Oryctolagus cuniculus: one gene and its partner. The protein of the gene in region 2 interacts with the protein of the main gene of each other region in a pairwise test. Links are inferred from orthologs where the notes say so. Each region holds a gene or a part of one and is shown on either strand. Other genes may lie near its edges.

Region 1 (4,083 bases), on a different chromosome or scaffold from region 2:
GGTGTCAGGGTCCATGAGAGAAGAGTGATACGCCTGCAAATACAGAAGCAGAAAGATGCCAAATGTTACAGGGGCTGACAAGCACATCCCCCCAGAACAACAAAAAATGAGTCATCTGCCCAAGATGAGGTAGGGTGGGGAGAAGCAGGGCTGGCAACAGTGATGTGCTGGGGCCGGCTGCTTCCGGCTCAAGCAAGTCAATCACTAGGGGCAGGCATTCAGTCTGGAAGTTAGGATATCCGCGGCCCACAGCACAACGCCAAGTTTGACTCCCAGCCCCTGATGCCAGCTTTCTTGCCAATGCAGACCCTGGGAGGCAGTGGTGATGGCTCAAGTGATCGGGTCGCTGCCAGCCATGTGGGAGACCAGGCCTGTGTTCCTGTGCCCAGGCGTTAGCCACAGCAAAGCCCTGGCCATCGTGGGCAGATGGGAGTGCTGTGTGTGTCTCTTTATCTCTCAAACAGAAGAAAACCAACTTAATGGTGCAAGCTGGTTATTAAACAGTCATTCCCAAACATTTAAACCCGTTTGTGGTGCAGTGGGTTAAGCTGCTGACTGCAGTGCTGGCATCCCACGTGGGCACCGGTTTGAGTCCCAGCTGCTCCACTTCCAATGCAGCTCCCTCCGATGCTCACGGAGTTCCAAGCTCCTGGCTTCGGCCATGAACCAGGGGATGGAGATCTGTTTGTCTCTGTCACTTACTCTCTTTCTGTAACTTTCCCTTTCTTTTTTTTTTTTTTTTTTGACAGGTAGAGTTATAGACAGTGAGAGAGACAGACAGAAAGGTCTTCTTTCTGTTGGTTCACTCCCCAAATGGCCACTATGGCCGGCACCACGCTGATCCGAAGCCAGGAGCCAGGTGCTTCTGGTCTCCCATGGGGTGCAGGGGCCCAAGCACTTGGTCCATCCTCCACTGCCCCCCCCCGCCCCGGGCCACAACAGAAAACTGGACTGGAAGAGGAACAACCAGGACTAGAACCTGGCGCCCATATGGGATGCCGGCGCCACAGGTGGAAGATTAATCAAGTGAGCCACGGTGCCGGCCCCCGTTACTCTTCCTTTCAAATAAATAAAAACTTTAAATTATATAACCTTACAATTATATTTATTAAAAAAACAAAGGTATATGTTCTCATCATCTCCTAATTTTCAAATTACATTTACCACTGTCTATGTTCTTAAGGCTCTATCTGTGTTACGTTTATGGTAGAAATACAAATACTGCAACACTGTGACACTGTGCATCTCTCCTGTTCCATGGTTAGTGACAGCACAGGGGTGGTGGGTGGGAGTATTTCCACACGGACATAAGCAAACACCATCTAAATCAGGGGTAGCTACCCCCAGCTGCATTTAAACCAGAACCCAAGCTCCAGCTTTTCAGATCTGCTCTCTCCTGGGTTTATGTCTTTCACCAAGACACCACTTTTTTCTCTCAGCCTGTTTCCAAATTTGCAAAATGAGACATATTCTGCCTCCTGTGGGTCAGTGAGTTAAGAGACAGAGAAAAGTCACATTTATGAGAACGGTTTGTATGCCGATTCCTGGTTCTGCTTTTTACAAGACGGCTGGCTTTCTGTAAGACAACACGGGCCCCAACCATGTGTTCACTGGTTCACCAGCCACGCGCACATGTAGCAGGGTGCTATGGCAACACACCAGAACACGGTCCTTGGGATTAAAGAATTCCCAGGCTAATGGATCCAGATAAAATGAGCAATCACAGGGTAAGTCCAGGGCGCTCTATGGGCAACTGGACTGCACACAGGGCTTCAGAGTCCACGGCCGGGGCCCTGCAGGAGCTGCTAACTTCTCTGTGACAGAAACAATGGTATCTGCCTTGCAGGGTCAGTGACGAGGGGCACACGGGAGCGTCTACACAGCGTGTGGCTCGGCTCCGCCTAGCAGTCCCCAGGAGTCAATGCTACCTATGCGATTCGTGAAACATTATCTATGACAACAGCCGGTTCTTTTCCCGGACAGGTATGCGTTATCTGGAGCAGCAACGGTCTCGATCCACCTGCTTCACGGCGTTTGTCACCACCTGAAAATACTCCTTTCACTCATGGGCACCTGAGTGCTGGCCTTGGCGGCTGCCACAGCCATCAGCTTGCAGGTATCCCACGCGCCGCAGGGCCACCGTGCTCCTACCCCGCAACCGGGGGCCCACACACAACCGCACGGCCTGTTTCCACCCCCACTCTGATGCTTCCATCTGGAAACCAGCTGCGGACCCTGGGTCGGCTCCGAGGGCCCCAGGCCCCCTGGCCCCGGCGGGGGTGGCAGGGAGGAGTGGAGGAAGCGGGGTCAGGCGGGGTCGGGCGGGGACACGCCCCCTGCGGCGGAGGAGGAAGTGGGCTTGACTGGGTGCGGGGGCGAAGGAGAAGCTGGACCCTGAAACATGAAAAGCACAGCCCTGGGTTCGGGGCTCGAAAAAGCCTCTGGGTACCCTGCCCGCGTCCGGGAGCGGAGGGGCGAGGGGGCGCCGCCACCGGGGACTACCGGGCAGGACGCGCCGCGGCGGCTTCCTCCCGCGTCGGGGCCGTGGCCCACTCCTGCCCCGCAGTCGACCCCGGCGGACAGCAGCCCCAGGCCCCCCAGACCTCAGGGACCAACCCCTCCCTTCGCCAGCCGCCCGCTTCCGGCCTGCCCTGCCAGGCACGCATCTCCCGTCGCACGCACGACTTCCCGCTGTCTCCCGCACACTCTGGGCTCACACTTACCGGCATCTTGGCAGCCCCGGGGTTTCAACCGAGAGGTGCAGGTCCGGGTTAGAGCGCGGCGCTTCCGGTGTGGGAACCAGGGCGCGGTAGGCGGAAGTGAGCCGGAAGGGGCGGGCAAAGGCAGAACAAGGAACTTCCGGCCTCCCAATCCCTCCGCAGGTGGCCGTGGCTGCGCGCTCCTGAAGAGGCGCTAGAGGGCGCCCGAGCACTAGGCAGCGGATCTGCGTGTCGCGCATGCGTGGATCTTGGTAACAGAATTTGATAGTCGCATCCTTTGTTTTTCCTTAAAGCTCATCTTTCCAGTGGAGCATTCCCTGATCACACTCCACCTCCCGGCCTCTCTCGCTTTTCCCTTAGTTCTTAGGATCCCCTTACTTTTGGTACAGAAAGGGAGGGTTTTTTGCTCGGCTCACTGCTGTATCCCCTGCGCCTACAGTCAGGGTATGCAGCAAGCCTCCAAGGACTGTGTCTCCAAGGACTGTGTCGAGCGAATGAATGAAGCCAAATCACGGCTTTTTTTTTTTTTTTTACAGGCAGAGTGGACACTGAGACAGAGAGAAAGGTCTTCCTTTGCCGTTGGTTCACCCTCCAATGGCTGCTACAGTCGGCGCACCGCGCTGATCCGATGGCAGGAGCCAGGTACTTCTCCTGGTCTCCCATGGGGTGCAGGGCCCAAGCACTTGGGCCATCCTCCACTGCACTCCCGGGCCACAGTAGAGAGCTGGCCTGGAAGAGGTGCAACCGGGACAGAATCCGGCGCCACGACCGGGACTAGAACCCGGTGTGCCGGTGCCGCATGGTGGAGGATTAGCCTAGTGAGCCGCGGCGCGGGCCAAAATCATGGCTTTTACAAATGGGGGACCCGGACACAGGAGAGAAGGGATTTGCATGTCACTCTGCACTGCGATTCTTCGCGCAGCGGCTGAAGAAGTGGACAGTGGGTTTTGGTCCTGTTTCCAACATCTGCGATCTGTGCGATTTCCACTTGCAAACGGAGGCAGCAGTACTTACCGTGTAAGCTCTGGGAGGATGCAAGGAGCCGAAAGCGCTGAGTGTACAAGCCGGGAGCGTACGGACAGCTCGGGTTTGTCTCACCCATTCATGGGAAAAGCCCATTTCTCCTGCCAGTGTCCCACACTGAAGAACCCTGCCCCGCGGCCCGACGTGATTTCTCCACTGAGGAGAGGCCAAGCACCCCTTAGTCACTCTCCATTTCACTCGGTTTTCTTCCTGTCCCTCAGCACAAGTTTCATTGTTCCTGGTCTCACCCACCAGGCCATCAGCCCTGAGCCGCCTCTTTCTACCCCCGGGGCCTGGCACCCACAAACCGCTGTACGTTTGTGCGAAGTCACATCAGGCT
Region 2 (3,646 bases):
TAATTTAAAATGATAGCTAAATTCTTTTTAACTGAAGTTTTTGCTCTGCTATGGTGTAATGAGAATGTAAATACTAGGAAGAGAAGCAATCTCGTATGAACAAGGTGGCAAAGATGACTATCAACAAACAACATAATTTATCTGCATTTTACTGTGATAATTAAGATACAACTAAAATGTAAGATACTTCAAATGAATTATCAGATCTTAAAACACTGCAAATTGTACTCTTAGGAACTAAACGTAATTTTTATATTTTATACAAGAAAAAAGTCTGCATTTCAAAATTAATAAAAAGATTTACATTTATATTCTGAAAATACCTTATTGATTAAATAACTACTAAATTACAACCAACCTTAACAGTGATTTGCAGGATTCATGGAGTAAATTATTTACTTAACTATAATTTTTTTTCTAAATATGACAACTGGAAAATTTTGTGTGGATTTTCATAAATTTAATATAAAACTTTAAAAAATCATACCAAGTTTTTAGTTGCAAAATAATATAATATATAATATGATGGGCCAAATTAACTATCAATAAATTCAAATATTTTGCTCAAAACTGAAGCTGACATCAAAGATAAAAAGAAAAATAGAAATAAAAGTTACCTTGCCTTCGCAGTTCATTTTTAACAGCTTCCACACCTCCCGTTTTTTCAATAAAGTCATATATAACTTTTGATGTTTCTCTGTCTTTAAGTTGTGCCTCTGAGATTCCACACATATCAAAAAGATTCTTCAATTCTGGATCCAAATTATTCAACTACAACAGATAAAATAACCACAAACTATAAAAATCTACCCTTGTTTATTAAAAATAAGTATGACAAAGTATAATTCTCATATGTTTTTTGAAAATATTTAAGTTAATTCTTTTTCCTTTTAAAAAATATTTCTTTATTTCAAAGGCAGAAATACAGAGAGAAGGAGTCAGGGAGAGATAGGGATAGAGGGAGAAAGATCAAGAGATCTTCCGGGGCCAGTACTGTGGCATAGTGGGTAAAGCTGCCGCCTGCAGTGCCAGCATCCCATATGGGCACTGGTTCAAGTCCTGGCTGCTCCACTTTCGATCTAGCTCTCTGCTATGGCTGGGAAAGCAGTAGAAGATGGCCCAAGTCCTTGGGCCCCTGCACCCATGTGGGAGACCTGGAAGAAGCTGCAGGCTCTTGGCTCTGGATCGGCACAGCTCCTCTGTTGCAGCCAATTGGGGAGTACACCAGACCTCTCTCTTTCTCTCTTTCTCTCTCTGTATAACTCTTTCAAATAAATAAATAAATCTTTAAAAAAGAGAGAGAGAAAGAGAGATCTTCCATTCACTGGTTCACTATCCAAAACGCTGGGACAGGGCCAGGCCGAAGGCAGGAACCAGGAGCTACTTCTGAGTTTCTCAGAAATGGATGCAGGGGCTGAAATACTCGGGCCATCTTCCGCTGCTTTCCCAGACACATTAGCAGGGAGCTAGATTGGCTGTGGAACAGCTGGGACTTGAACCGGTGCCCATAGGGTTGCTAGCACTACAGGCAGAGGCTTAACCTTCTATGCCGCAAGTCCAGGCACAAGTTAAATAAACTTTTAATGCAGTTACAGTATTTATATGCTAACAAAATAAATGTTAATGGAGCCAGCACTGTGGTGCAGTAGGTTAATGCCCTGGCCTAAAGCACCGGCTCGAGACCCAGCTGCTCCACTTCAGATCCAGCTCCCTGCTATGGCCTGGGAAAGCAGTAGAAGATGGCTCAAGTTCTTGGGCCCCTGCACACTCGTGGGAGACCCGGAAGCAGCTCCTGGATCCTGGCTTTGGATTGATGTAGCTCCAGCCATTGCGGCCAATTGGGGAGGGAACCATCAGATGGAAGACCTCTTTCTCTCTCTCTGCCTCTCCTCTCTCTGTGTAATTCTTTCCAATAAATAAATAAATCTTAAAAAAAATAAACGTTAATAAATCTAAAAGGAGACATATACTCCAATACAATAGTAATGGGGGACTAAAAGCACATTTTCATCAATGTACAGATCAACTAGACAGAAAACCAACACAGAAAAAACAGCCAAATGACATTATAGACCAAAAGGACCTAACAGATATCTACAGAACCTTTCATCCCACAGCTGCAGAATACAAATATGGAATCAACCCAGATATCCATGAACTGATGAATAGATAAAGAAATTATGGTATACATACACTATGGAATACTCAACCGTAAAAAAGAAAAATCTTGTCTCTGGCAACAAAATGGATGCAACTGGAAATTACTATACTTAGTGAAATAAACCAGTCCAAGAAGACCAATACCATATGTTTTCCCTGATCTGTGGTAACTAACAGAGCACCAAAAATGTAATGTGTAAGAGTGAAACTGACATTCTTAGATTCATGATTGTTCTCTACTGTTGAGGAACAGTGTTCTTTTCTTCTTACTATTTGTTGACATTTTACTTAGTGTATGGTTAGTCTTTTGAATATATAGCAAACTGAAAACAGATTACTGCAAAAATGGAGAGAGAATAAGAAAGGAAAGAGGAAAAAGGGTGAGAGTGTTTATTGGAGGGAGGGTAGGATGGGAAGGGTCACTATGTTCCTAAATTTGTATATATGAAATACATGGAATTTGTTTACCTTAAATAATAATAACAGAATAAATATGAACAAAGAATAGATCTTACATTTTATCACATCTCTTTTTTGTTCCCTGACTTCAGAAGAAGAGAATTCTTGATTTCTATTAACCCATTCATGATTCAAACATCAACAATGTGAATCTATTTCACCTTGTCCCAGGTTAAGATTTAAGTATAATCACAAAGAAAGACAAAAACAGCAAATCAATTTGAAAATCCAAGGGTAAGGACATTTTTGTAATTTTTAGCCCTTGAATAGTGCTCAACAGAAAAAGACACTCAATATGTATGAGATTAATGTGGTAATTATAACAAAAATATTGAAAATGATTTTTGAACCAAGTCACAAAATAACTTTGTTTTTAAAGATCTAATATGAAAGGACGGTACTATGGTTCCAAATCTCAGTAGTATATACACATAAGCACAACTCTTCCAAATAGACACTAGAAGCTGCAAACATAAATAATAATAAAGAAATAAGCCCTTTGAAAAGTCTAAATGCAAGTCATAACATTCTTACATATTTATATCAATATTGTATACAGCTTGAAAAGACACTCACATCAAAGCCTGTATTTGGATCCCAACCAACATGTCCAATGTGCCTAAAGTAACAAGTAGAAAAATAAAATGCATGAAGGGCAATAAAAACATATATGTAGGAAATCCAATTCTCCAGTGGAATTTTGGGTCTGAACGAACAGTTCTCACAGACATACCGGTATTCTAGGAAAAATTATATACAAGGAATTGGAAGATCAGGATTCCAGCCCTGGTCTTGCTACCAATCTTAACGTTTTTGTACAATCTCTCCAAGAACTATTTACCAAGTTAGCTTAAGAATATACAAGCATTTCATATATATGCATATATATGCATTTTATAATTATGTATATATAAGCATGTACATGCATCTGAGATGACAAAAGTTTTATAATGAACTAACAAAATAATGCATATGAAATTCTTTGAAATGTCATATAATACCAAATGCTTTTACTGCCTTAAGGCAA

Evidence for each region.
Region 1: the proteins of WASL (region 2) and ARPC3 interact in binary tests that used the Homo sapiens proteins (3 or more experiments, as listed by UniProt). The two-hybrid records come from large-scale screens. The link is inferred for Oryctolagus cuniculus from reciprocal best matches to the Homo sapiens genes WASL and ARPC3.

What each region holds. Positions count from the first base shown.
Region 1 is NC_091452.1:8,116,029-8,120,111, forward strand, and holds the start of ARPC3 (actin-related protein 2/3 complex subunit 3), read right to left. Parts: upstream 2,940-4,083; 5' UTR 2,730-2,939; coding exon 2,724-2,729; intron 34-2,723; coding exon 1-33. UniProt on the Homo sapiens protein: Component of the Arp2/3 complex, a multiprotein complex that mediates actin polymerization upon stimulation by nucleation-promoting factor (NPF).
Region 2 is NC_091434.1:159,920,305-159,923,950, forward strand, and holds part of WASL (actin nucleation-promoting factor WASL), read right to left. Parts: intron 3,239-3,646; coding exon 3,196-3,238; intron 772-3,195; coding exon 618-771; intron 1-617. UniProt on the Homo sapiens protein: Regulates actin polymerization by stimulating the actin-nucleating activity of the Arp2/3 complex. Involved in various processes, such as mitosis and cytokinesis, via its role in the regulation of actin polymerization.